Lytechinus pictus: one gene and its partners. The protein of the gene in region 1 purifies or fractionates together with the protein of each later gene. This does not show direct contact. Links are inferred from orthologs where the notes say so. Each region holds a gene or a part of one and is shown on either strand. Other genes may lie near its edges.

What was found.
Region 2: the proteins of exocyst complex component 1-like (region 1) and exocyst complex component 3-like purify together in Homo sapiens (affinity purification with mass spectrometry; 5 studies listed by BioGRID and IntAct, counting the BioPlex papers as one, with this or other methods). This does not show direct contact. The link is inferred for Lytechinus pictus from reciprocal best matches to the Homo sapiens genes EXOC1 and EXOC3.
Region 3: the proteins of exocyst complex component 1-like (region 1) and exocyst complex component 5-like purify together in Homo sapiens (affinity purification with mass spectrometry; 4 studies listed by BioGRID and IntAct, counting the BioPlex papers as one, with this or other methods). This does not show direct contact. The link is inferred for Lytechinus pictus from reciprocal best matches to the Homo sapiens genes EXOC1 and EXOC5.
Region 4: the proteins of exocyst complex component 1-like (region 1) and exocyst complex component 8-like purify together in Homo sapiens (affinity purification with mass spectrometry; 3 studies listed by BioGRID and IntAct, counting the BioPlex papers as one, with this or other methods). This does not show direct contact. The link is inferred for Lytechinus pictus from reciprocal best matches to the Homo sapiens genes EXOC1 and EXOC8.

What each region holds. Positions count from the first base shown.
Region 1 is NC_087249.1:53,894,443-53,901,346, reverse strand, and holds the start of exocyst complex component 1-like, read right to left. Parts: upstream 3,024-6,904; 5' UTR 2,971-3,023; intron 1-2,970.
Region 2 is NC_087245.1:22,445,515-22,453,117, forward strand, and holds the start of exocyst complex component 3-like, read left to right. Parts: upstream 1-4,597; 5' UTR 4,598-4,727; coding exon 4,728-4,805; intron 4,806-7,603. UniProt on the Homo sapiens protein: Component of the exocyst complex involved in the docking of exocytic vesicles with fusion sites on the plasma membrane.
Region 3 is NC_087251.1:13,168,600-13,176,466, forward strand, and holds the start of exocyst complex component 5-like, read left to right. Parts: upstream 1-4,858; 5' UTR 4,859-4,990; coding exon 4,991-5,014; intron 5,015-7,867. Other genes in the region: neurofilament medium polypeptide-like, read left to right, coding at 102-248, 586-810, 1,165-1,731. UniProt on the Homo sapiens protein: Component of the exocyst complex involved in the docking of exocytic vesicles with fusion sites on the plasma membrane.
Region 4 is NC_087258.1:23,503,478-23,511,282, reverse strand, and holds the start of exocyst complex component 8-like, read left to right. Parts: upstream 1-4,783; 5' UTR 4,784-4,849; coding exon 4,850-4,904; intron 4,905-7,805. UniProt on the Homo sapiens protein: Component of the exocyst complex involved in the docking of exocytic vesicles with fusion sites on the plasma membrane.

The DNA of each region.
Region 1 (6,904 bases):
TCTAATTTTGTTTTAGTGTTAATATTCAGATCTTCAAACTTGACATTTTCCTATCCCCTTCATCATCCCCTCTCCTTCTCCCTTTCCCCATTTTCGTTCTCCCTTCTTTTCTTTTCTTCTCTCCCTTCCCTTTTTCGCTTTTCCTTTCCCTTCTTTTCTTTCCTTTCTCCCTCTCCTACTCTTTTCTCGCTCTTTCCATTTTTCTTTCCCTCTCCCTTCCCCTCTTCCTTTCTTTTGTTTTCTTTCTATTTTATGGTCTCCTTTTCCCTCTCTCTCCTTTACCTTCCCCCCTCCCCTGATCTGTCTTTTCTTGTCTCTCCTTCCCTTTCCCGCCCCCTCCATTCCCTTTCTCGCTTTTTCCTTTCTCTTCTTTTCTTTCCTTTCTCCCTCCCCTACTCTTTTCTCGCTCTTTCCATTTTTCTTTCCCTCTCCCTTCCCCTCTTCCTTTCTTTTGTTTTCTTTCTATTTTATGGTCTCCTTTTCCCTCTCTCTCCTCTACCTTTCCCCCTCCCCTGATCTGTCTTTTATTGTCTCTCCTTTCCTTTCCCGCCCCCCCCCCATTCCCTTTCTCGCTTTTTCCTTTCCCTTCTTTTCTTTCCTTTCTCCCTCCCCTACTCTTTTCTCGCTCTTTCCATTTTTCTTTCCCTCTCCCTTCCCCTCTTCCTTTCCTTTGTTTTCTTTCTATTTTATGGTCTCCTTTTCCCTCTCTCTCCTCTACCTTTCCCCCTCCCCTTTTCCTTTCCCTCTCCTTTTTTGTGCAAACATTAACACGAACATCTTGCTTCCTACACACACACACAAACGCCCGCAATCTAACACACGTAATGCGAAACAATCGGGACATTATCATTTTGTTCATATATATATATGTATATTTTCTCAATGAACATTTTCATCTATTTAAAGCTTTGAAAATTATTAAACAATGATTCCATAGGCGAAATCTCAATGATCATTAGGAAGGTACTTTACCCATTTTCATTTTATGTCATTGTGATTATTCCAGACTAAGGCAACATATTTTGGATATAAAAATACGTGAAGGATATGTTCCTCTTCTGTTTTATACTTTAACAGAAAACATTTTGTTCAACCAAATTATGATTTGTATTTCCAAGTTCCATGTAATATTTTCATTGGAAAATCTCTTAAAGGTCAAGTGCACCCCAGAAAAGATTGCAACCTGTTGATTTTTGGTACAATTTCCTATTATGCGCCGACGACTTGAATCGAGAATGTTCGATAGGAAAATTTCGCATTTCGATTGTTGTTTGCGTAATTTCCACCGCAGTATGAGGATGACTAAGGACGGATCGAACGAAGTATCCTGGTTGAGATTTGGAGGTAAGCGACAAAAACACTTTAATAAATAATTTATAATTCCTTTTTCAAATAAACTTAAATCATACGATCAAGATTAACATAGTGGACAAATAGGCGCTAGTGTAGTTTCGCACCTCCCCGTTTAATGGTTTTCAAACATGTACAATCTCACCCTAAATAATTCACAACCTAAATACTTGCATCTGAGCCTCCAAAGTCCAGTAGAAGTTAAATATTTGCCGCTTTGACACTTTTTTTTACAAAGTTTTACACCTATTTCGGAATCACTCGGTCGCTTGAAGCTCAGCGCTGCACATAGGCAGTCGGTACGCGTACAGTACGTACCACCTAGGCCTAGTGAAGTGCAAGAAGAGCGAGTTTTTCTATGGTATCTTCAAAAAGATTTTTTTCCCCTCTTTCAGCTTGCACCAAGTATTACGGTAGTGGTTGTGCAGAGTGGTTGATGTTTGTTGTGTGAAGGTGTGTGTGGGGTGTGCGTGTGTGTTTGCTTGTTTGAATGAAATAAGAAATGTGAAAAACCACTACCGTAATCACTAGCGTACCTACGGGGGGGGGGCAGGGGGGGCACTCTGCCCCCCCCTGACGAGTCACAACCCATGCAAAAACGTATCTTTGCCCCCCCCTGACGGACTTGAAAAAACCTTTTTTGGCCCCCCTGACGAGCTTGAAGACCTCTTTTTTTTTTTTTTTTTTTTTTTTTTTTTTTTTGCTTGTCAATTTTTTTTCTGGTACGAAATCCTTTATTTGTGATCGAAGACCTTTTTTTTTTTTTTTGCTTGTCAAATTTTTTGGGGTACGAAATCCTTTATTTGCGATCGAAGACCTTTTTTTTTTTTTTTTTTTTTTTTTTTGCTTGTCAATTTTTTTGGCGGACGGTTTTGCCCCCCCTGTGGAAAATCCTAGGTACGCCACTGACCGTAATACTTGGTGCAAGCTGAAAGAGGGGAAAAAATCTTTTTGAAGATACCATAGAAAAACTCGCTCTTCTTGCACTAGGTGGTACGTACTGTACGCGTATCGACTGCTTATGTGCAGCGCTGAGCTTGATCAAGCGACCGAGTGATTCCGAAATAGGTGTAAAACTTTGTAAAAAAGTGTCAAAACGGCAAATATTCAACTTCTACTGGACTTTGGAGGCTCAGATGCAAGTATTTTAGGTTGTAAATTATTTAGGGTGAGATTGTACATGTTTGAAAACCATTAATTAAAACGGGGAGGTGCGAAACTACACTAGCGCCGACAAATATTGAAAGGTTTGGCGTAGTTTAGTCCCTCACATTCGTGTGATGAATGAAAACGTCAAAATGCACTATGAAATCACATGTGTTGTGCGAGGTTAGTATACTAACCTCGCATGTTGTGTGAGTGGAAGCCGCCTGGCTACAGGGCCCCAGGCCCAGCCAGCCGAGCCCGTAACTTCACCGGCCCTGGCCGGCCCGCGTTATACCTCTCTTCGCTGTTATTAACACGGGCTAAATTAAGTTCGTATTCAACAGTATCTAGCGCGCAAATTTGTTCCACGAAATCCTCATATTACCTGCAAGCACATAAATAATTATAATTCCATGTGGCACCTATAATCATCTTATATTTATCAAAGAAATACTGATTAATTTCAGTGTTTACCTGGCTTACTTGGATGCAGGAAGTTCGAAGGAAACCGTACACTGACTTCCGCTGCGCTGCGCGCGCGCGCTGGGTCGATAGCCGAGCGCGCGTACACGTTGGATCGATACGGGTGATGTGATGGAGGGGATGATAATGATGATGATGCCCGGTGCCCGGTGATGATGATGATGATGATGGTGATGGTAATGATGATGATGATGATGATGATGATGATGGTGATGACGATGATGATGATGATGACGATGATGATGATGATGAAGATGATGATGATGGTGATGATGATGATGACGATGATGATGATGATGATGATGATGATGATGATGATGATGATGATGATGATGATGATGATGATGATGATGATGATGATGATGATGATGATGCATGATGATTATGATTATGATGATGGGGATGATGAACCAGGATAATAATGTCAATCCCGGTCATGATTTCTGAAGAGGTACCGATATATGGATAATGCTGGTTATGATATAATGATGAATACGGGGGTGACGATGTTGAGGGTGATGGATATGGTGTGGTGACGGTGGTGGCCAGTGCTGCTGATTCCTAGCACTGCTGTTGCATGCTGCCTCTGATGATGATAATGACACTGTTTTTCATAACATTGAAAGTAATATCTAGAGCAGGATGTTAAACTTTGGTATAAAATGTTTTATTTAAATGTTAGTAGTTTTGAGTTTCAATATATTCAGTAGTTTCAATATATTGTCTACTCTATCCACTAGCGTACCTACGGAGGGGGCAGGGGAGCAGTCTGCCCCCCCCCCTGACGATCCACAACCCATGCAAAGGACGTATCCCTGCCCCCCCTGACGAGCTTGAAAGACCTTTTTTGCCCCCCTGACGAGCTTGAAGACCTTTATTGCCCCCCCCCCCCCTCGCTGACGAGCTTGAAGACCTTTTTTTTTTTTTTTTTGCTTGTCAATTTTTTTTCTGGTAGGAAATCCTTTAATTGTGATTGAAGACCTTTTTTTTTTTTTTTTTGCTTGTCAAATTTTTTGGCGGACGGTTTTGCCTCCCCTGTGGAAAATCCTAGGTACGCCACTGCCTCTATCATTATCATAATCATAGTGTTGTTTCTATATAGGCTATCTTTGATTTTTAATATCATTCATGAACAATTAAGCGCAAGCTTATGTTTTTCATACAGGCCCTACTGACCAAATAAATGAACATTTTAGGTGACTGTTATATTTTGTGAAAACATGGGTGGATTGATGAGTTCCCTTTTCTTATTATGTTATTACATGAAATCATAATTATTTTATCAGTTTTTCATGCATGTGTGAATGATTATAATAAAATAAGTAAACTAGCAGCAATAATGTCTCAGGCCTGGAATATCTCATGCATTAAAGCAGTTGTCAAACCATTATTTTAGTTCTTGGAGGAAAAAATAACAAAGACAAAAGGCAAGTGGGATGTGATTAATTTACTCATTGAATATTCATGAAGTCAAGCATAAATTACTGTTTCACTGAAATAATGCAATTTTTTAAAGTGTCATAACTTTGTTATTCCTTCTCCGATTTAAATCAAATTTTCAATGTTCAAATTGTATTAATTTAGCCTGGAGTAACCCTTTACAAGCACTGTTTGTATCATGAACAGCACACGTATCCGAAATGCGAGCATTCAGTTTATATGACATATACAAAGATAAATTTTAAGGATTTTTTTTAGAAATTCATGAAGAGGAAAGTTTTCTGACCAATGAAAATGCGAGCGAGCAGCTCAAGCTGACTTTTTTCTCTTCAAATCTAAAAATTTGATAAATAATTGACTGTTTTAGGACTTCTACAGCGCGTCCCCAAAAATGTCCCTCTGACATAGGGCTGAATTAATTCTAAAATGTGGTAGTATTCTCAAAAAAATGTTCATGAGTAGAGCTCACTTCATGATCTAACTTCTATGAAAATTTCATTGGTTGCGCTTCAGCGGTTTTGAATACTGTTATACGTAACAGTGGTGCATTTTAGCCCATTCCAAGTTTGCAGCATTGATGCATTTCTGTATTGTCTATGGCATATTAACCCATCACATTCTTACATCCAGGATCTGAGCAGGGACATTTCCCTAATCATATCCAGGCTCATTAAATCATAAACTTTGGTATGTTCAGAAGAAAAGAAACATAAAAAAAAATTAAGCTTGTTTGATGATTGATAAGGGGAATCAGTGCACCAACTTGGAAAGAAAATGTGAATGATGGATGAGTAATATAAGCTGAAAAATAAATGGGAATCCACAAGTTAATCACCCTTTGCGAAAAGGAACTATACCAGAGAACAATTTGACTTTTTTTTCTTTTAAAAAGTTACATCGAATTAAATTGACCACAGTAGCTTATTAAAGGGATGGTCCGGGCTGAAAGTATGAATAACTTAATAAATAGAGTAGAATTCATTGAGCAAAATGCCGAAAATTTCATCAAAATCGGATAACAAATAACAAAGTTATTGAATTTTAAAGTTTAGCAATATTTTGTGAAAACAGTCGTCATGAATATTCATTAGGTGGGCTGATGATGTCACATCTCCACTTGTTCTTTTGTATTTTATTATATGAAATTAGGTTTATTCAAATTTTTTCCTCCAAGAACTAGAAAAATTGGATTGACAACTGATTTAGTGCATTATATATTTATTGCTGCAACTTATTTCATTATAAGGGAGACATATCATTCACACAAGTATGAAATAATGAAAAAATTATGATTTTATGTAATAACATAAGAAAACGGAAAGTGGAGATGTGACATCATCAGCCCACCTAATGAATATTCATGACGACTGTTTTCACAAAATATTGCTAAACTTTAAACTTCAATAACTTTATTATTTGTTATCCGTTTTCGATGAAATTTTCGGCATTTTGCTCAGTGAATTCTACTCTATGTATTAAGATATAAATATTTTCAGCCCGGACCATCCCTTTAAGTAAAAATAAGTAATAAAAACAAAAATGCAGTATTATAGGCATGAAACAGACATGACCCGTTGTATTAATCATTGTGCATCTCTTAATTGTTATCAAACGTGAAATGAACTGTCAAATATTGTTTTTGCCCTTCTGAACATGCTCAAGGTTGTGATTTGATGAGCCTGATTAGATGATGGACATTTCCCTGGTCAGATCAGGGAATTCCTTGGTCAGAATGGTCGAAGGGGGCTGATATGATATGTGCAGAACACACAGCAGTGCTGCAGGCATGCAAACTTGCAATGGACTAAAATGCACCACTGTTACATCATAGAGCTCTATGGTTACATAATAGACTGTGTATTCAAAATTACTGAAGCGAGACCAATGAAATTTTTATAGAAGTTAGAACATGATATGGGCTTCCTAGTTTCATACATTTCACTGAGAATAATTTTTATTTTTTGAAGTAATTTAGCCGCATATCAGAGGGACATTTTTTTGGGACGCGCTGTAAGGTGTGTAACTAAATGAGAGCCCGCAGCGCGAGCGAATTTTAATTCAGATCTGAACAGGGGCGGCGGAACCAGGGGGCAGGGGACAAGTGCCCCCAAAAAATTCTCCGTAGAAAAAAATCCCTTTTTTCAAACTAATGGAAAATGCCCTTTTTCAAAATGAAATGTGCCCTTTTAAAAATGAAATACCCTTTTTGAAGCAAAACAGCAAAGAGTTATGGTGGTAATTCAACAAATACCCCAACATGGCCAAAGTCCATTGACCTTTGACCTTGGTCATGTGACCTGAAACTCGCACAAGATGTTCAGTGATTCACTGAATATCTTGTGCGAGTTTCAGGTCACATGACCAATTAAGGTCAAAGGTCAATGGACTTTGGCCATGTTGGGGGTATTTCTTGAATTACCATCATATATCTGTAAGTGTATTGATCTAGTTCATAAAACATGAACATAAGAGTAACCAAGTATCA
Region 2 (7,603 bases), on another chromosome or scaffold:
AAAAGAGAACAAAAGAAATCATACGGATGCAAATATGATTACTGAACAAATGCAAAGCTTTTCACACAAATCACTGTATAGGGGAATTATGAAGTGGATAACACTTAATAAATGATGCGAGCTGATATTTTTATTATTATTTTGACCTAGGACCAGGACATTCGAGGCCTTTTGTCATTTTGTCATCATATGAAAATGATGACTATCTTCCTATTCCTCTTCCTAAGCACGATAAAATTTGTCGATATTTGATGCTTTCTGAAAGAGGGACAATTTAGTTATTAGCAATTCATTAAAAAATTATCATATCTATCAATCTAAAAAGCCTAATTAGTGCGTGAAATTTGTTGACATTGAGGCTTGAAAACTGAATATTTTAGGTACTTTTTTAATCATGAATAGGATAGGAATCATGGGTTTTGATATAATTTTAACAATTAATGTGAGCGCAAATCGCGAGCCGAAATCTTTGATAAATAACTGTCATAAAAAGGGGGTTTTAAGTAGTTTGTTATAGAATTAATATAGAGGTACATATAACCCATCAATCAAAATGCGAGCACACAGCGCTACGCTCATAGTGCTACGTTTTGACCAAAGTTTTTGACAATCAGACATCCGTAAAATGATATTTTGAGAACTTATGGAAGACACGACAATAGGTAGTCCTACTTGGCAAATCAAATCACGCGAGCGCACAGCGCAAGCTGAGAATGTTGATATTCACACTATAAAACGGACATTTTAAAAAGCACGTAAAAAAATCAATTTGTAAATCAAACAAAATAATGAAAGCTAGATGTCCGAGCTGAAATATGTTTTGCATATTGGCTTCAAAACTTGATATTTTAAGCTACATATTGAGCAAGATATATATCTCATCAAACAGGCAATGCGAGCGCGAAGCGCGAGCGAAAATTTAATGCAGTGACATGAAAGATATTTTTAAACATTATCCAAGTCTTCCCATCACCTTATTTTATTCACTCGTATTCCTCCTTTCTTTCCCCTTCTTTTTTTTCTTTCTTCCCCCCTTTTTGTCATTGTTTTTGCTCCGCCCATGGGGGGGGGGGGGGGGGGGGGGGTGGCCCCTCAGGTCCCCTTGGATCCGCCTATGCTGTATCACATAATTTCATACCGATATATGAACGACTTTACAGATAATATTTAATATTAGGAAGTGATTATTTTTATATTATGACAAAGGAGTAGATAAATTATCGTTTATAGGCAGATATTTTGAAAACGATATACAATTTTTTTGGCGAAGACTAGGCCTAAACCGCATATCATGGACTATTTTCGACTGAATTTCAATAACTGTTGAAAATAGACATTGGTAATCTTAAAACTAAATCATTGCGGTGTTTATTTTTGGAAATATCCTTTATTTTATCTTACTTCTGTTGTTCTGTACTGCCTGATATTTTTTCTGTTCCCATGATTAATTGGGCATCAATAAGTGTAAAGAAACATTTCGCCTTTATGATGGCGCTATATCGATATGATATAGCTTGCGGGATTAAATTAGCTTCATAAATAAGAGAAATATCTCTTGTCAATGATTAAAGCATGATACAAATGATTTTATCAAAACATGGGTGGTGGGCTATATGGAACGACTTGAGGAAGTATAAGGGGGCTGAACATGTATCGTATAAAATCTGAATTTGAAAATTGGTGGGCGGGGACGGAGGGGGGGGGGGGGGGTGGGGGAGAGGTGTTAATCCCCCGGCTCCAACCCCCGCTTTCGTGGCCCCTGCATAACTCGCCTATCCATTGATTATTAACAATTTTTAGTTGTCCCTAAATATCATAAGGTTTTTTTCTATTTTATTTTATTCTATTACTCTGTAAAATTTGTTATTAGAGATCAAGATATACTTCTGCTGCTACTGGCTTCTCCCGTGGCTACTATTACAACTACAGTAGTCTTACTACTACTACTACTATACCTACTACTACTACTACTACTACTACTACTACTACTACTACTACTACTACTACTACTACTACTACTACTACTACTACTACTACTACTACTACTTCTACCAATACTATACTACCACTACTACCACCACTACTAGCACTATACCACCACCACCACCACCACCACTACTACTACTACCACCACCACCACCACCACCACCACCACCACCACCACCACCACCACCACCACCACCACCACCACTACTACTACTACTACTACTACTACTACTACTACTACTACTACTACTACTACTACTACTACTACTACTACTACTACTACTACTACTACTATACTACTACTACTACTTCTACTACTACTACTATACTACTACTACTAATACTACTACTTCTTCTACTACTACTACTACTACTACTACTACTACTACTACTACTACTACTACTACTACTACTACTACTACTACTACTACTACTACTACTACTACTACTACCAGTGGCGGACCGTGACCCGGAGGAGACAAGGCATTGGGGGGGGGGGGCACTGAATTGTTTGTGAACAATGCTGTGCCCCTCCAATGCTTTGTCTCCTCCGGGTCACGGTCCGCCACTGACTACTACTACTGCTGTTGCTACTATTACTCCTTCTAATACTCCTCCCACTGTACTTCTAATATAAGGAAAGTGAGGTAAGGTGAGACATTGGTTTTTTTTTATATTTGGCACATAGGTGATAGGCCTGCAGTTATGGCTTATATTCATAGTTTCAAATTCCGAAATCAACTTCAAATTCAAATTTCAAATTCATTTATTTTTACATTTGTAAAGAAAAATAATTTAGGCCCACACTCATCGAGAATCAAATCATATATACAGAAATGGCATTTTTTGTTTACAAGGTATTATGTGCTTGTCCTCTATGTCTGTGGTCTCATCTCGATTTCAATTATCACAATTGTTTTCTCTTTTATTATTTTTGTTCACCGAAACGATATGCTTAAAGGGAAATCCAGCTTTGGCCATAAAATGTTGTGTTGGAAAGGAAAAAAATAAATTAAACAGAATGGCGAAAGTTTGAAAGAAATCGGACAAGCAATAAGAAAATTATAGCTGCTTTAAAATTGAGATCACTAATAGTATGTAGATTTCAAATTGGCAACTGGGTAAGTAAATTATGACAAGGGGCAAGGACAACTTTCCCATAAGCCATGTACTTTATTATCAGGGATTTGTGGTTTTCTTCTACGTACCCATTCCCCTGGGGCAGTAATCTAATTATAATCCAGGTAGTATATTGTTTTATGTCCTCATGAAAGAAAAATATAATTTGAAATAAAACTTTTGGGGAAAATGACATTTTAGCCATAATATGTATTGGAGTACATGGAAGAGTAGTCCTTGCCTTACATCACTATGACATCCCATATGCGGCCAATTTGAAGTCTCCATGGGTATAGTGATTACCAATATTTACAACTTTTAAAAATTCATAACTTTCTTGTTGTTTGTCCAATATTGTTCAAACTTTCACCTATCAACTTGTCTGATTTTTCTTTTTCTTATAAAAACAAGTTTTTATTTGGGTTGGATTCCCCTTTAACTTCAGGATCATTTTGAATGGTATAATTGAATTATCAAAGATAAAATGTAAGAAGAAAAAAAAAAAAAAAAAAAAGAGACATTAAACCTTTGACCAGTAAGTTTTGAAAATATGAAAATTCTCAATTATTTCACCACCAGGGTATCTTAGTTTGCTTCAGAAGTGATTTTTGTTGTTTAATGATCAATTAATATTAAAAGATTCTTTACTAAAAACCAATGAAATATTATGAAACGCACAGAGTCAACCCTAAAAAACGAATTAGAAAGTAAAAAAGGGGCCTAAGCTTTCGATCCTAGCAGAATCTTCGTCGGAGGCAAAATGACAAACATATAAAGTGGAACAACCATAATATAGACCACAAACAAGCTACAGCAACACTAGAAACAAGGAGACAAAAGGGGCATTAGTGAGTAGAGAAGACCAATCAGGTTAGTGAAGGGGATGAAAGAAAAGGAGTAGGCAGACACAAAGGGAAGTTAGTGTAAGTAAGGCCAGTAAAAGACCTCAAGCCAAGAGGGATTAAGATAATGATAAAATGATAATAATAAAAAACAAATGGCAAAACCCTCATTTGACTTTATAAATTGACAGTTTGAGAGAGAGAGAGAGGGGCCTTAGGACACGCCTGAGTGTTTTCTGTAACGATTTTTTATTTTCAAAATAAAGTCACTTTGAAGCATGATAATTACCCTTTATTTTGATACTTATTCGTCACTGTGTTTGAAGAGCATAAGTGAATATTGTAAATGACTGTAAAAAATATATATATGAAGCAACCGATTGTTGTATTTGTCCAGTTTCTCGCCCCCAAAATATGATCGACCTCTACCCCAGTCATCGGGTAATTGATGACTACTAGTATATTATTAGGTAATTTGATTGTACATGAAATGCAATAAAATTCAGCTTTTCTTTTTTCCTTTTGGTAAAATTTTCTTTCAGCTACACGAACTAAAAGAAAATCAACATATCAGCGAAAATACAAAACATACAAAAATGCTCATGTACTAATTTTTTTACCCCTATTCCCCATTTTTTTTTCTCGAACTAGGCTGTTTTTACGATACCATATCGGGGTGTGTACTATTTTAATTTTGGGGTCGAGTAAATTTACCCTAATAAAAAGGGTATTTCTGGCGGTCATTCTTCTCAGTTTTTATCATTTTTATCTATATTCATCATGCTTGGTGAGGACTTTGGAAAGGCTGAAATAGATGCCATTGAATCGGCTTCTAAACGTGTTGAAAACATGTTAAAGGTGAGACACGAAAACTTTGTATCAGCCATAATCGGCACACAGGTATCACAGGCGCACGCGATTCTTGTGTGCACTGGTCGCATAGTCTTCTGACACATTTTCGTGATAGCATAGTGCTAAATGCACATGAGCTTAGTCGCTGGATATTTTGCATTGGTTGTGCCACGTTGTAAACAAGGGTAGCAGTTATGGCGTTGGTCTGAAAAGTAGGATTATCCTTTATAATATATACAATTTTACGATGATTTCTCCACATATGGCAATTAAAAAACTGGGATTTTCCAGGCCAGGGCACCCACGGCTACATCTCAGCTGCCGACTACAGAATAATTGAAGGCACGGCGCATTATTTCAACAAATAACGTTAATTTATGAAAAATTAATACGAGGACTTACAGAATGAAGTCCTCCTACGAAACTTACAAAACGATGTGAAGTCAATTCCTCATAATTTGATGAATATCCCTCAAAATGTGTCATTTAACTCAAGCGTTGATTTTTCTTCTCGTTGACAAAATACGAAAGCCACCTTTCTAGCTCTCAAATTTTTCGTCTAATGAGCGAGAGAGGGCGCGCGATTTATCTTCATATCAAAGACACTACAATTGAAAGACTAGACACAGAAATTATCTTACACGTAAATCGATGCAAAGCATTACGCGAAGTCGGCAAAGTTTCCAATCTTTTTACTGTAAAGACTTTGGTGGAACGTTAATTGACAAACGAACGGTAGCACTTGCGGGGCTTTGTTCAAGGTACATAGAATTTTCTACATTTTTTGTTTAATTTGTCATCGTTTTGAATATTTTCCAAAAAGTATTATCGTCAGCAAAAATAATAAAAAAGTATGTTTTTTAAGTTATTGCATTTATTGGGGTCTCTATTTTATCAAACAATTATTGGAATTGCGCATACAATAAATCATGAATCTAGTTTAAAAAATACCACCAAGCTGAATTAAGGTTGCGAACTGTATTAGCGCCACCAACGACCTTCCTTTTATTTCCGTGGAAGAGACGTGCGAAGCCACTTTCCAGGCGGAGGTAAGCGATTTTGCTCTTTTTTTTTTTAAAATTAAAAAATATGTTAAAAATTGATAAAGGAACGCTTTCTACCAGAAAAAGCCCTGGTGAGTAGCGGAATGGTTTCGGCTAATATCATTCACGTTATGAAGCGATGTTAACGACAACTCTAAAATCCACTACAAAAACACGTTGGTTGTGCGAGGTTCGTAAAGCATATATACTAACCTCGCAATAGTGTGAGTGGGCCAGGGCTCTTTTTTAATTTCAAAATCCAGGCCTGAGCCAAGGTAGCCTGGGGTAGTCTTGGGTAGCCAGGAGGCTTCTTGAGAGTAAAAATCATTTACTAACGTATGCTTACTCTCAATGAAGCCAGGGACTCCTTCCTATTCATCTGCGTGTACCGCCAAAAAATCTGAAACTTTCGCCCCCAAGATTTCTACTTTCCTTCTAAAACATCTAGCCATAAATCATGTACATGGGATAAAACTTCATTTCCGACATTTCTACGCTCTCGGTTTTATTTTTAAACAAGAATTCATGAAAAAATGAATAAAATATTGTGAAAAGACGGAAGAGACTTGCCCGATGTTTACACCGCCATCTTGTTTCTTATTGTACTTCCCCAACGTTACGCGACGCTAGCGTCCGTAACTTTGGAGACAGTGTTTCATCTTTGTTTTTCCCTCAGTGTTGCCATCCAGCACGAATCACAGATCAGTGAGTCTGACTTAGCCAGGCGGCTTCTTGAGAGTAAAAATCATTTACTAACGTAGGCTTACTCTCAATGAAGCCAGGGAGTCCTTCCTATTCACCTACACGAAGGACCCCAAAACCTGAAACTTTCACCCCCGAGATTTCTACTTTCCTTCTAAAAGATCTAGCTCTAAATCATGTACATGGGATAAAACTTCATTTCCGACATTTCTACGCTCTCGTTGTTATTTTTAAACAAGAATTCATAAAAAAAATGAGAAAAATATCGTGAAAAGACGGAAGAGACTTGCCCGATGTTTACGCCGCCATCTTGTTTCTTATTGTACTTCCCCAACGTTACGGACGCGAGCGTCGCGTAACGTTGCAATTGACAAATCAGGGGGAAATTGAATCAATACGAAATTTGCAAAAGGCCAGTTGACTTACATAAGATAATCCGTCGGTCATGAGAGCCAATCGGACTAATGTGTAAAAGTCAGGACAGCTTAAATTTGACCGAACTCGCGATCGTTACTTCGGGTCATCGCAGTTCTAGTTTCCAACAATCCCAATTCCTAGACTCTTAGCAGGTCTCTTGATTGCTAATAACCTCTGTGAAATTACATGTTTCAAAGTGAAAACACGCAGTTTACGTCTGGTCGGTTAGTCTACTAACTATTGCTCAGCTATACAGTCGACCTCCCAGACATAACGGCGTCTATTACATAAAACTCCCAGGCATGCAGCCAAGTGAAAGGCTTGAATTCCTTCTCTGTTCTGAGATTAGCCTTGATTTCCCCATTATTTGTCAATGAAAGGTCGCTTTAAAGGGGAGGTTCACCCAACAAAAAGTTTATTGTGAATATAACAGAAAGAAGTAATGAAAAATATTGGTGAAGGTTTGGGGAAAATCAATCAAAGATTTAAAAATTTATTAGAATTTTTTATTTGTGATATCATATGTGAGCAGATTCCCATGTATCGTGAATTGAAAAATGTCATTTTCTCAGAAAAATGAAATGGGTTTTAATGTACATACATGTACCTTCAGTCTATCAGCAGACAAATTATTTCACACCT
Region 3 (7,867 bases), on another chromosome or scaffold:
CTTTATAAACAGACCCCGATGGATGCAATTTATGGTGTTAATGGCAGCCCATAGTTAGAGAAAATGATACTGATTTTTATAAATTTCTTTTCATTGTGCAGCTTGACCTTCCATACATCAGGCGGAGTTACAAGAAGCTATATCAGCAGACCCTGATGGAAGCAATTGAACAGAAGTGCAAAGCCTCCTTCAAGATGGCCCTGGTCCAGATGGTCCAGGTCCATGGAGCATTCCAAAAACAAGACCAAGTAAGCTCTATTCTCTCTACCAGTATAAGAAGTGATTTTCGACATATATATGCCCAAACTCCATGGTATATTTTAACACCTAAAAGTGTGGGTCTCTCATAACACTGACTGGTGTTCTTATAAACACTTTTGACCTGATGCAGTATGTGGCCTCATTTATTTCAAGAAAAAACAATATTTACTAGACTTCATTAATTTAAATGTCCTTTTTTTTTAATTAAAGATAACAAGTGTTGTAACCCCAGCAATGCTACATTACTTTATTCTTATTCTGTTTAATGCAGAAATGTGATTATAGAACTTGATCCAAAGCTATTTGAAATTTAAATCATTTTAGACTAAAGAAGAGGAGCCAGGAGGATCTGACTCACAAGAAGCTGAAAAGCAGGCTGGTGGACCTCCTAAACCTTCCCAGCAGAGGCCCTTGAAGCACCCTACACCTAACACCGGTGCCAAGGTACCTGCCAGTAACCCCCTGGTGAAGAGTACCCTAAAGAGCAATGACGCCAGAAAGGGTACTCCAGGATCTCCAAACAGATCAGCAGGAGCAAAGTCTAAACAGGTAATTAATTAGTCTATTAAAAAGGTATTTTTTCTAAACCTGTAGTGAATAAAACTTTTTACTTTCCTGCAAATAGACAGGTGGATGTGAAAAAATACTAATTAATCTTCTTTCATGAAAATATCAAATTGTAATTCTATTATTCATACTCCTTAAATACCATTCCATAATAATTATTGTGAAGGTTACTACATGATTGGTATATGAAAGCTTTTTATTTCATTTAAATTGATGATTTTCTGTATCAGATTATTACAAAAATTAACCTTGTGAGCTTAATATTGAAGCTGTCTAGTTCCATCTCTTTTAAATCATAATCATGATAAACATAAAATATTCCCTCTTTTTCTTTAGACTACCAACTCTCCTGGAAATTCTGGAAAGTCCAGACAAGCTCCTGGAACCAAGACTGGAGTAGGGGCGTCGGCCATCAGCAGGAAAACCACCACACCCCCACGAAAGGCGACTCCACCCAAACCAGCCCAACCCTCAAAAGAAACCTCAAAAGCACAACCACCGACCAAGAAGAAGGTGGAGGAGAAATCAACTACTGAAAAGGAAGATCAAGCCAAGATGGATGAAGAGAAGGAAGAGAAGAAGATGGAGGAAAAGAAAATGGAGAAGGATAAGGAGGCCCAAGGAGAGGCATCTGCAGAGAAAGAGACTCCTGAGAATGAAGAGGGTGAGAAGGATGAAGATGAAAGTGATAACAAAGATGGGATGGAGAAAGAGGAAAAAACGGAGGAGAAGTCCGAAGCAGAGATGAAGTCTCTGAGTGGTACAGAACCAACATCGGAGGACATGTCAGCAGAGAGTGAAGTGAAAGAAGAGGTGAAGGAGGAAGAAGGTAAAGTGGAAGAATATGGAAAGGAGATTGAGATGAAACCCAACGAGGATCAAGAGCAAGGAACTTTATCATGATGAGCTGCATAAAGAATTGGAAATTATTTATTAAAAAAAACTATGGAAAGCCATCACAGCCATAATTCACCATCTAGAATATATGTGTTGCTGAGTGACGTAACTTTCAGAGAGGTGTATTGCTCCTGAAATGACAAACTATGTAACTCAAAATTGAAATATTCAAGAAAGTTACAAAGCATTGATGCCATAACACCAGAAATAACGAGTTGTTTCTTTGGGGTGATGTTGTAGCTTCATTTTGTAAGATAGAGAGAGAGACCTTAGACAGTATATATCTTTTGGTGTTCAGTTGGTCATCTGTTTCTTCACAATAAATAAGTGATTTTGAGATAAGAGGTCTATTAACCCAAGCAATACTATGCCTTATCAATTCAACCAATCAGCATGCTTTGGGTTTTTTTTTTTTTTTTTACAAAGTGCCATTACATCTGCCTTTGATTGACAAAATATTACCTATCTAGCCTTTCTTAGTTCGGATTGATATTTGAATATCATAATACAGTATAAAAACCTCAAACAATTGCTGATTCTTGGACAAGAATCTGTGTTCAGGTTAACAATATCCTTGTATGTTTAACCTAAATGATAGATATGATTATCCATATCCTCCTGTTTTGAGTAATTGTGTTGTAAAGATGTATACAATGCACAGATATTAATCCGTCAGATATATATCTTACAAGTGATTCTAGTTATTATGTTGTGATTTTACTTATTCACTCAAAGAAAATATGTTTATATCTTTCTCTTACTCTTACTCTCTCTCTTTCCCTCCTTCATTCATTATGGGTAGTGCAAATAGATACCTTTCTGAATTTTGTTAGATGCATATATTTTTTAATTTTTCACATATTCATCTTGACCATCTCCATAGAGTTATGATGTTTATATATATTGCTTTCTGTTCTATGAATGCATATTTGTTGTTATTTTGTGCATTATGACAAATTAATTTTCTAAAGACAATATATCCATTATTGGATTTAGTAAAAAAATAACAGATCTTGAAAATAATAACAGAGGGATTCCAAAATTAATTTTCTTGTAGAGGCATGTCTCAATTTAAAAATAAAAATGCCTCGCCTGGATCCAAGCAGCAGCTTGTCATTGTTCAAAACTCACCTACACCCGACATCTGGATTTATTTTTAATACATGAAATTTAGAGTGTAGACTTTCAACCTGTCTTCATCATTGGATATCAATAAAAGAGATTTAAAGCCTTTAGGCCTATATATTCAGAATCTTTTTTTTTTATGTCACAAATAGATACATTTTAAAGATAGTATTTGATTTGGGATCTTGAATAATACAACTTGTAATCCGTATGTAATTCTTGATAAAGTTAAGCTTTATCTAGAAATTCTGTATGATTGTCATACAAGTCGTCAATATGATTCAAGTGTCCTTAACTCATGAAATACAAAGTATTTTTATGATCTGCCAGAAATGTGATTTTTATTTGTAAAAACTGTTGATATGGAGTATACACTGTCATGTATCACTATGTTAAACTGTGATGCAAATTTATATTTTGTACATGAAAATTTACACATGCACCAATTTGAAATTGATGATATATTTTTATTGCCTTATACACTCATCATGATCATGGCCATTTTTCAAATTATTTCAAATCAAATCTAATTTGATAATGTATGTTATGCTTTGATCACAATTTTGTAATGTTGTATCATACTACATGAACTTTGAATTTTAACTTATTGTACTTTGTAAATAAACAACATGAATAAAAAAAATGTTAGTGTTTCATTGATGATGAGCTAGTTGCATGACAACTAAAACAGCAAATATTTATATGAAAAGTGTGAAAGAGTCAGAGAGAGAGAGAGAGAGGGGGGGGGGGAGAGAAACAACATGTGGACTATCTACCAAGTACAGTATATAAGTACATAAATATGTATGTATATGTACATGTATACTTTTTTTTAGAATGTACATGTATACTTGGTAGATAGTCCACATGTTTGATCAATATCAATAAAAATATGGTAGAAACTTTCATGCTTATATATTCTTTTATTACTTTGTTTTATTCTATAAATTAGAGAAGGGGGGGATAGGTAGTGAGGTTTATAGAGGAAGGGTGCAGATGAATGCATAGAGAAAAATCTAGAAAGACAGAAGGACATCGACAGGGGGGGGGGGCTACAGCTAGAGAAGAAAACTAGAGGGAAATGGCTAATTGAGAAAGAGACGGACACTAACAGAGAGAGACGGGTCTATAAGGCAGCATGTATAATAGGCCTGTACGAGTCAAGGTGGTAAAAAGGGTCATTTAAAATATGCTTATTCTCAGTAATGAATTATGGCAGGGCCCTGGGAATGATTTTTTTACTAGGGGTGTCGATGTAAATTTGAAAAAAAAGTTATATAACAAAACGAAGGTCATTTTGTCGCACAGAAATTTGACAAGGAAAAAAATAAAAACAAAAAGGGTTTTCACTACAAATTAAATGAAAAACATAAATTATTCCTTCTTTTTCTTTAGACTACCAATTCTCCTGGAAAGATCATCTAGGTCCAGAGAATTTGAAAAGCAATTAAAAAAAAGAAAAAATAAAGGCTTCTCGACAACATGAAGGTCATTTTGTCCAAGAGAAATTTGACAAGCAAAAAAAAAAAAAAAAGGGGGCCGGGGGCTCACTACTAATTATTTTTCCACACCTACCAGAATTCCTGGGGAGTGTTTCATCAACATTTTCATCCGACAAGTTGTCAGATCTGACATCTTTCTCTGATGTTGATTGGCTGAGAGGTACTGTTACTATGGTAACTGTCGGATAAAATGGGACTTGTCGGATAAAACGTCCGACAAGTACTTTCATGAAACGCCCTCCCGGGGGTGCTTCCTACATGTATGGAGAATAAAACACCCAGCACCCCTTACGAAAATCTTGGGGGTGCTTCACCCCCGCACCCCCGCTTCCCAGGGCCATGAATTATGGGCACACTATACCACAGGGTATCCTAATTTGTAGATAAATCCCGAATAAATATACTAGGTCTGAACCCGGGGGCATGAAAGGATCAGACAGACCACTTGACCTCGACTCACAGTAATCAGTAGTGTCTCCCTCTTTTGGGCAAAGCTTTATAATTATAGTGCTCCCCTCGCATAAAATGTCTTCCGGGATTCTGCTTGCATTTGGGAGTGAGAAGCAGACGCGAAAATCAGTCGTTGAAAACATCATTAATTCTTCGTCTTACCTCTAACTTGTTAAATCTAAAAGAAGATGTCTTCTTTAAAAGAATTTGCTGTAAGTTGACCTTTTGATGAAGTAAAAAGTATAATATTTGTCTTGCATTTCTAGGTTCGAGTTCCGAACAGTGAAGTCTGTCAGTGTGACGTTTTTTTGTTGTTTGTAATCAATATGATTGAAATGAATAAGGTACCGTCGTATCTAATGAATGAAACAGTGACAGTGAGTTTGGTGATCCAGTCAGTGGACTGTATCATGGTAACTAATAGCATAAGACTATAGGCCTAACTAATTACTAATCGAGTCAGAATTAGAATGCCCAAACACTCCAAACTTAGTTAACAACAATTTGGGAGTAATTTAATTTTGGCTTAATTGTTTAGGGAACCTCTTGTCCATTTGTACGCAAGCACTTGTGAAGACAGTTGTGTACCATACCACTATTCACTAACAAGTATTGCGAGGTTCCATGCACTACGATTCGTGTCTACGCAGTGGATTTTTTAGTTGTCGGTTAACATTGCTTCATAACAGTTTAACACAAATAATGTGAGCCGAAACTCATTCCGTTGGCGTTACTCACCAGGGCTTTTTCTGGTGAAAAGTGTTCCATTTTCAATTTTAAAATAAAAAAGAGCAAAATTGCTTACCTCGGCCTGGAAAGTGGCTTCGCGTGTCTCTTCGACGGAAATAAAAGGAAGGTCGTTGGTGGCGCTAGTACAATTCACAACCTTAATTCAGCTTGGCGGCATTTTTTAGACTAGATTCTTGATTCATTGTATATGCGCAATTCCAATGATTGTTTGATAAAATAGAGACACCAATATTCAATAAATGCAATAACTTATAAAACATACTTTTTATATTATTTTGCTGACGATAATACTTTTTGGAAAATATTCAAAGCGACAATTAAACAAAAAATATAGAAAATTCTATGTACCTTGAATGAAGCCCCGCAAGTGCTACCATTCGTTTGTCATTAACGTTCTACCAAAGTCTTTACAGTAAAAAGATTGGACACTTTGCCGACTTACTTTGTGTAACGCTTTGCATCGATTTACGTGTAAAATAGTTTTTGTGCTTAGTCTTTCCCTTGTAGTGTCTTTGATATGAAGATAAATCGTGCGACCTCTTTAGCTCATTAGACGCAAATTTGGGAAATCGCAAGCTCGCTCCGTATTTTGTCAACGAGAAGAAAATTATACTCTTAAATGACGCTATTTGAGGGATATTCATCATATTAGGGGGAATTGACTTTACATCGTTTGGTAAGTTTCGTAGGAGGACTTGATTCTGTAAATCCTCTTATGAAATTTGCGGGAGTTTGTTGCAATTTTGCATGCGCCGTGCCTTCAATTTTCCTGTACACGGCGGCAGTAATGCACCCATGGGTGGTTGTGTACAAGTGAATAATAATGTTCTTAATCGATCGCTAGAGGGTATTCATTTGTCTCGCAATCTACTATGGTCAACAAATTTGTGATCACTCTCGCAAAAAGTGTTCACTAGCTTTCTAGGAAATTTGTGATCACTCTCGCAAAAAGTGTTCACTAGCTTACAAGTTCACGAGCTTTCGAGTGCCGCTGCAACTCTTTATCAAGTGAAGAAAATTATCTTACTAACCTTCCCAAAATGTGGCCAAGTTAATGTGCAGTTTATGCAGTGGGCACGTCATGGTCTAGTGGTTCTGACTCTCACCTTTCAAACAGAAGTTTGTGGGTTCGAATCGTAGCCATGACGTGTTTTCCTTCAGCAAGAAATTTATCCACACTGTGCTGCACACGGCCCAGGTGAGGTTAATGGGTACCGGCAAGAAGTAATTCCTCAAAAAGCTGTGCGCACCAGAATCAGTAGACTAGCTTAGCCGGGGTAATATAGGAGTGCCTTGAGCACCTAGCAAGGTGGATATGTGCGCTATACAAATCCTATATTATTATGTCTAAAATAAGGATACAAGATTCTGCTTCCTTATTTTGTAGCTTGGTACAAGAGTCTATTATACCCCCAAACTGGCCAACTTGATCTATAAACTTCTCTGAGATAATAAAACATTTCTGAAAGAGAAAAAAATTACTCAGAAGGTCAAAAAACAAAAATTCCTTTCTAATTTCACCAGGCTTGTTGCACACGTGTTGTCTGTAATATGGTGGATGGCTGTTGATAATGACAATAAATTGAGGGCAGTATTGCAGAAATTTATTTAAAGATGTTAAAGAAAATTACAATGTTTCAACTTACCCCGCGTTCCAACTAACCCCGGTCTCCCCTACTGTCCATAAGGTACACTCTTGCTTGGGTCAGGAAAAGGTGACGTCACTATAAAAATTAAGATTCAATGCATTGCATGCTCTTAGTAAATGCAGACGCGCAGGGCTAACCGGATAAATGCACATTACCATTAATCGATATTCTCCCCAATCATTTAACACAGGGTTTACCCTCCAAAAATAAAAAGTTATATTGTACAACTTTTTGAAATGAGATCACGTGGCACCAATCTAGCCAATCACAGCTCGTATTTTACTACCATTATTTATCTATATAATGCAGTAGCAGCCAAATAGCTAATGTTCAGAGCTTAAACACTGGTGTCTTCACTCTCGTGCCTTAGAAGTTTTAGTATTCAGGGCCAGCTCATCTCTATCATCTTAAGACTACTGGCCTTTGGAGAGTAAAAGAAAAAATTCAAATACAACCTTACTTTCCATTTAGCCTGGTAGATGTTCTCGTCAAGAAGATATCAGTCAGATCGCTATAAACATGCCTGGAAAAGTTATAGTTCTGAGATTGAGATAAAGTGTGTGCAGGTGACCCACTACCATGAATGTTTATATACCTATGTCCTTAAAGGGGCTTTCACAATCGCTCTTGCGATCGTTTGCGGTCATTTGGTCACAATATATGTTG
Region 4 (7,805 bases), on another chromosome or scaffold:
AGCTATAGATCTAGTAGATTCTATGCATGATAACATTTAACCTGGGTCTGGAAACAGGATGGGTGAGGTGGCACCACAGAACACCCCCCCCCCCCCGGCCCCGCCTTCAAAACAGAGTTAACTTACATGTACACTCACTTACAAGTTACAGTTAGAGAAATTATAGTTTATACAAATCAACAAGTCTAATTAATTTTTTTAGAATATTGCATGATCATAAAGCCATAATAATCAAATAGGGACTTCCTTCATTTATTTATTTTAAGTGCTGATTTAATTATACATAAAAAATGAAACATTCATGATGAGACTAATAGTTGGTACTCGCGTACCGTGCATTGTCAATTGGAGTCGTTAACTACACAAAATCCATAGCGAGCAACACGGCAGCCAACGCGAAATCTGTTCGCGCCCTCCGACGGGGGGCGAAATTTTCATAATTTGGTCGATACAGGCCCTTTTTCATGCAGAACGAGCAATCAGTGAGCATTGGTGAGTACGATTGATTTTGGTTTCAAAAAACCAAAAAACATTTCTGAATTCTTTCTAATACAGTCTTTTAATTGCCAAATGTTGCCAGATATGGATAAGTGTACAAATTACACAAACTTAGTGAGAAAAGTGAAGAAATTTTGACTTACCTTGTCGGGTTGAGTCGCTCGCGAGGGGTTGGATCAATGTAAACATGGAAAACTGCATATCGCACGAAAGAGAAAATAGTTTAGGTTAATGATATGCCGAGATTTTGGAAAACGACCCAATCACTTTTAAATGAGAATGGTATCAATTCGCACATGTCGAATCACCGATAGCTAGAGAAGCACCGCGGCTGCAGCAAAATCCTCCGCACACTACGTACAAAATATAGTACGAGCGCGAGAGCGCCATCTTGTGGTGAATGACGATGCCTATTTACAACCAACTGCGGTTTTCCACCGATCTCCGCACCTCAGAGGAAGGGAATCTACAAGTACAACTTACCATCAAAGGAGTACAGACAAACACCCCCCCCCCCCCCAACACACAAACACTCAACTCGCGTAATGATGTGCTGAATCACCTGCATGATTTACCCGTCAATTAAGCTCATATGTAATCACAACACCTCGAACATGAAAACGTGAAATTCAAATGCTACATTAGTGCCTAAAAATCGCACACGCCGAGATCTTCGCCTACACGTGATCGATTATTTGAAGTAATTTTTATGTTTTGGGCAAATTTTAAGATTTTAACAGTGAAAGGTTAAGGTAAAAGAGATAATTTCAAGTTCTCACCCAATCTCTATTCTTGATTTTCCCTCTTTCTTTTAGTTCTATTCACAATGGGCCGGCTAAAAAGTGTGCCGAATACAGCGTATTTCGTCGGGGCCGGAGTAGAGTCAGCCAACAATAAGCTAGCCAACAAGTACAGCAAGCCAGCCAACAGTTCCAGCCAACAATATCGCGATGTAAGATAGATCAGATACAGGATTTTGCGCACGAAGAGAAGCGTGCATTCTTGTACAAATCAAACAAACGGGGTCAGGGTGGGGTTTCCCTTCTTTCAATTTGTAAAGAAAAACAACGGGCTAGTGCTTTAATTTTAGTAGCCCACACCCCTATATACTCTATGTGTTTTCGTATATTGAGGAGTAAATTTCAACTAAAGTCCTCTTTATAAACTACAATTGGAAGATTGCTCCTGAAATATATTTTGGGTGTGTGTAGGGGGGTTTCCCTTCTTTCAATTTGTAAAGAAAAACAATGGGCTAGTGCTTTAGTTTTAGTAGCCCACACCCCTATATACTCTATGTTTTTTCGTGTATTGAGGAGTAAATTTCAACCAAACGTCCTCTTTATAAAACACAATTCGAAGATTGCTCCTGAAATATATTTTTGGTGTGTGGAGGGGGGTTTCCCTTCTTTCAATTTGTAAAGAAAAACAAGGGGCTAGTGCCTTCGTTTTAGTAGCCCACGCTCATATACATTCCTATATATTCCACGTTTTTATATATATTGAGGAATAAATTTGAACTAAAAGTCCTCTTTATAAAATACAATTGGAAGATTGCTCCTGAAATTTATTTTGGGTGTGTGTAGGGGGGTTTCCCTTCTTTCAATTTGTGAAGAAACACAACGGGCTAGTGCTTTAATTTTAGTAGCCCACACCCCTATATATTCCACGTTTTTATATATATTGAGGAGTAAATTTGAACTAAAAGTCCTCTTTATAAAATACAATTGGAAGATTGCTCCTGAAATATATTTTGGGTGTGTAGAGGGGGGTTTCCCTTCTTTCAATTTGTAAAGAAAAACAAGGGGCTAGTGCCTTCGTTTTAGTAGCCCACGCTCATATACATTCCTATATATTCCACGTTTTTATATATATTGAGGAATAAATTTCAACTAAAAGTCCTCTTTATTAAATACAATTGGAAGATTGCTCCTGAAATATATTTTGGGTGTGTGTAGGGGGGTTTCCCTTATTTCAATTTGTAAAGAAAAACAACGGGCTAGTGCTTTAGTTTTAGTAGCCCACACCCCTATATACTCTATGTTTTTTCGTATATTGAGGAGTAAATTTCAACAAAAAGTCCTCTTTATAAATACAATTGGAAGATTGCTCCTGAAATATATTTTGGGTGTGTAGAGGGGGGTTTCCCTTCTTTCAATTTGTAAAGAAAAACAACGGGCTAGTGCTTTAGTTTTAGTAGCCCTTACCCCTATATACTCTATGTTTTTATGTATATTGAGGAGTAATTTTCAACAAAAAGTCCTCTTTATAAAATACAATTGAAAGATTGCTCCTGAAATATATTTTGGGTGTGTGTAGGGGGGTTTCCCTTCTTTCAATTTGGCTACTAAAACTAAAACACTAGCCTGTTGTTTTTCTTTACAAATTGAAAGAAGGGAAACCCCCCTACACACACCCAAAATATGTTTCAGGAGCAATCTTCCAATTGTATTTTATAAAGAGGACTTTTAGTTGAAATTTACTCCTCAATATACGAAAACACATAGAGTATATAGGGGTGTGGGCTACTAAAACTAAAGCACTAGCCCGTTGTTTTTCTTTACAAATTGAAAGAAGGGAAACCCCCCTACACACACCCAAAATATATTTCAGGAGCAATCTTCCAATTGTATTTTATAAAGAGGACTTTTAGTTGAAATTTACTCCTCAATATACGAAAACACATAGAGTATATAGGGGTGTGGGCTACTAAAACTAAAACACTAGCCCGTTGTTTTTCTTTACAAATTGAAAGAAGGGAAACCCCCCTACACACACCCAAAATATATTTCAGGAGCAATCTTCCAATTGTATTTTATAAAGAGGACTTTTAGTTGAAATTTACTCCTCAATATACGAAAACACATAGAGTATATAGGGGTGTGGGCTACTAAAACTAAAACACTAGCCTGTTGTTTTTCTTTACAAATTGAAAGAAGGGAAACCCCCCTACACACACCCAAAATATATTTCAGGAGCAATCTTCCAATTGTATTTTATAAAGAGGACTTTTAGTTGAAATTTACTCCTCAATATACGAAAACACATAGAGTATATAGGAGTGTGGGCTACTAAAACTAAAACACTAGCCTGTTGTTTTTCTTTACAAATTGAAAGAAGGGAAACCCCCCTACACACACCCAAAATATGTTTCAGGAGCAATCTTCCAATTGTATTTTATAAAGAGGACTTTTAGTTGAAATTTACTCCTCAATATACGAAAACACATAGAGTATATAGGGGTGTGGGCTACTAAAACTAAAGCACTAGCCCGTTGTTTTTCTTTACAAATTGAAAGAAGGGAAACCCCCCTACACACACCCAAAATATATTTCAGGAGCAATCTTCCAATTGTATTTTATAAAGAGGACTTTTAGTTGAAATTTACTCCTCAATATACGAAAACACATAGAGTATATAGGGGTGTGGGCTACTAAAACTAAAGCACTAGCCCGTTGTTTTTCTTTACAAATTGAAAGAAGGGAAACCCCCCTACACACACCCAAAATATATTTCAGGAGCAATCTTCCAATTGTATTTTATAAAGAGGACTTTTAGTTGAAATTTACTCCTCAATATACGAAAACACATAGAGTATATAGGGGTGTGGGCTACTAAAACTAAAACACTAGCCTGTTGTTTTTCTTTACAAATTGAAAGAAGGGAAACCCCCCTACACACACCCAAAATATATTTCAGGAGCAATCTTCCAATTGTATTTTATAAAGAGGACTTTTAGTTGAAATTTACTCCTCAATATACGAAAACACATAGAGTATATAGGGGTGTGGGCTACTAAAACTAAAACACTAGCCCGTTGATTTTTGGCTCGAATGAATATCTATGGCCTGCCACTAGTGATTAGGTCCGTGTAGCCCTGACCCCGTTTGTTTGATTTGTACAAGAATGCACGCCTCTCTTCGTGCGCAAAATCCTGTATCTGATCTATCTTATATCGCGATATTGTTGGCTGGAACTGTTGGCTGGCTTGCTGTTGGCTGGCTTATTGTTGGCTCACTTGACATAGGCTTCGTCGGGACAACAAAGGCCAAAGGGAAGTCAATAATAATTAGTAGTCTAGCTATCTATACTGTTTCCCTTTTTGTAAGAAATAAAATGCAAATACTAAAGGAGTCAAATGGAAAATTATATCAAATACTAAGATTCTATCGAATTTGAATTACGAGTAGATCTAGAGTACTGTATTTTTTATATTTAGTTTAAATATATATTTTTTTATATCTGATCAGCATAATTAAAAAAAGGTCTAACAATTTAGTGTTTGCGTGATAAAGACTACCGGTACATGTAACATACATACTTGTCCGGCCCTAAAAAGGGGGTAAGGAGGAAGATGGCAGAACAAATTGTCAACAAATTGTCGAAAGATAATTTCAACGCAGACGAATGTAAGTATAACGTATTAATCGGTAAATTAGGTTACCTTTTCGCTCGGATGATCTTGGTTTGGTACTCAAATAAAAAGAATGAATGAGTGACTCCACCTCAAACTCGGTCTAGCACAGAGGAGACGGCATTACAGTTTCTGTCGTGTGCAATTTTTAATGAATGCAAGTGAATAGGCGATATCATGTTTCCATGACGTATGCATTATAATACTACATGAGCTAAATCGCCGGATCCGTGAGCTGAGTTGCACCGATCTGTATAGTTCAGTCAGCAAAATACCGCGATTGGCACATCAAGCTAACTTGAAGAGTATGCCACTCTAGGCGACACCGCAATACTTACCCGTGTTAATAAAGTGGGACTCCGCTCACGCGCGTTTGGGCCTCCCTAGCTTAGAACTAAGCACTAATATCACCTTAAATTAAAAACTAAATCTACAAGGTAGGCCTATGTATAATCTATTTAGTAATTTGATAATGTTTAAACGGTACTCACCAGTTCTTTTGATGTATTTTCTCCAGAATTCCCACGGATTTGTCCCAAATCTTGCGACAAACCACGTCGCGGTAGACAGCTGTACATTTTTTTTTATTTATAAATAAAGCGCCCCTTACGATAGTTGTTAACAACGCGGCCAAATCGTTAGGTTTTTTGCACTGTGTCCAAGGCTTTTTTATTTTGTTTGATTTTTTATTTTTTAATAAATATTTTGTTCAATAGCGATTTTTACGTCAAATATTAAATTTATATCACAAAATATTTTTTAATTGTAGAAATATACATAATATTATGCAATAATTTATTCTATATATATTTTATAATAAAATTTATAATTGTTGCGGTCTTTAAAAAAGGATAGTCGATTGATCAGGTGATGACCACACGTATCACTAACCCAGAGAGCTCCCGCCCGCGCAGCGGGCGGGAGCCCAGAAGCTTACCGTGTATTTTACCATTGCCACCGGACTAGGGTGATTTATGGTCTAAATATTTCTCCAAATGAATTGTGAAAACGGAAAGTATACAATTACCACGATTATATGGATGAAGGTCTAACGAGTGGCAGATTCCTGACATCTGGGCACAGTCTGGAACCTCAAAAAAACGAAAAGTTCTCTCCTTCTACCCAGTCTCGATCGGCCATTTTGTTACGATTTTTAACAAAATGGCCGATCGAGACGGGGTAGAAGGAGAGAACTTTTCGTTTTTTTGAGGTTCCAGACTGTGCCCAGATGTCAGGAATCTGCCACTCGTTGGACCTTCATCCATATAATCGTGGTAATTGTATACTTTCCGTTTTCACAATTCATTTGGAGAAATATTTAGACCATAAATCACCCTAGTCCGGTGGCAATGGTAAAATACACGGTAAGCTTCTGGGCTCCCGCCCGCTGCACGGGCGGGAGCTCTCTGGGTTAACGTATCACGTGATCTGAAAATCAGCTTCATACCGCTTTGATCGCACTCGACGGTGACCGGACTGACTGCCAAAAAAAGATCGAAAAATGACTCAAATGTAAGTTTCCCTTTATTTTATTAAATTCAAATTAGGAATAGGAATATATTCAATGGGCAATCTTTTAATAAATGATAAACAAACGAGGACAAAACTCATATTTTGGGAGTAATATCATACTTGGGTGCAGGAAACAGTACGGTTAGAAGTTCTAACCTGTTTTTAACGCATTGTCGCCTATGAGGTCCATACATGCTAATGTTTGGACCTCATTGGTACTAGGAGTGGAGTATGCTACGTTTGGAGTGGCTCGAAGTATTATTAATTGATTTTTAATTTATTTGTGAAGAAGTAGAGTAAAGTGCCCTAATATCGGACACCCAGTCTGGCTGGTCCCAGTTAACATAACATGGACCAGGTTAAGCACCTGGCCTGGCCCTGGGGCCCGTTTCTCAACACCGTCATAAGTCTAAGTCTAACTTCTTGACTAAATCGAAGATAGTGAGCTACTTGTCCGCTAACCGTTTCACGAAGCCCTCTTTGCCAAGATCGGGGACAACAACCTCACTAAATATTTATGACACCTCCGAACCTGTCATAACTTATTTCGTAATGACATAGTGACATCACGTGGGTAGACTATGACAGGCAAAAGTGCCTCGAAATTTGAAAATTATAATCTTACGTAATCATTCATAGAAGTTGAAATTACATTGCAAAACAGGTGAGATACATGTAGATCATTCAAGACAATAATAATTGTAATGCACAGAAAGTTTAAAAACTGTTGGTAAAACGCAACAAAACCATTCATTTTGAAAAAGTAAAATAATTGAATCGATAAAGATTCTACCATGTCAGGTCATCCATAACTGGACTCGTATTCGTTGTTTTCAGACCCTTATCAACATTTTGATAAATTCTATCTCTAATTTATGCAAAGAATTTGTCAAATCGTGTGTTTCGGTATATAAAATTATAAAAATTTATATGTTAAACTATATTTTGATGATGTTTGGAACCATAAATAAACGTATAATTATTATTATTTTACAAAGAAAACAATTGTTGTTTACTTTCGTAAGCTATCAAAATTTAGTATCCCGGGGATACCCATCTCAATGTCCACATGTGATTTTTTAGTCATTAAATGAATTATTCATAATTTCATTTTCTCAGCAATTGAATGCTCCAGTCTTCATGGTTTAAGTATGCATGGTACATATTTTGCCTCTGCTATCATTTTGATTAGATGTATTTCCAAATTAATCACAATAATTGCAGTTTTATCGTATTTTTGCTTTAAAAAATAATGCTATTTTATGACTAAGGCTACGTCTCGTCTGCTCTTTCTACCGATATTATCGATATCAAGGGATACTAGTTAGGAAGCCCTTCGTGAAACGGTAAAAAATTGTAAGATTGGAACTAACTCCGTGGTCGG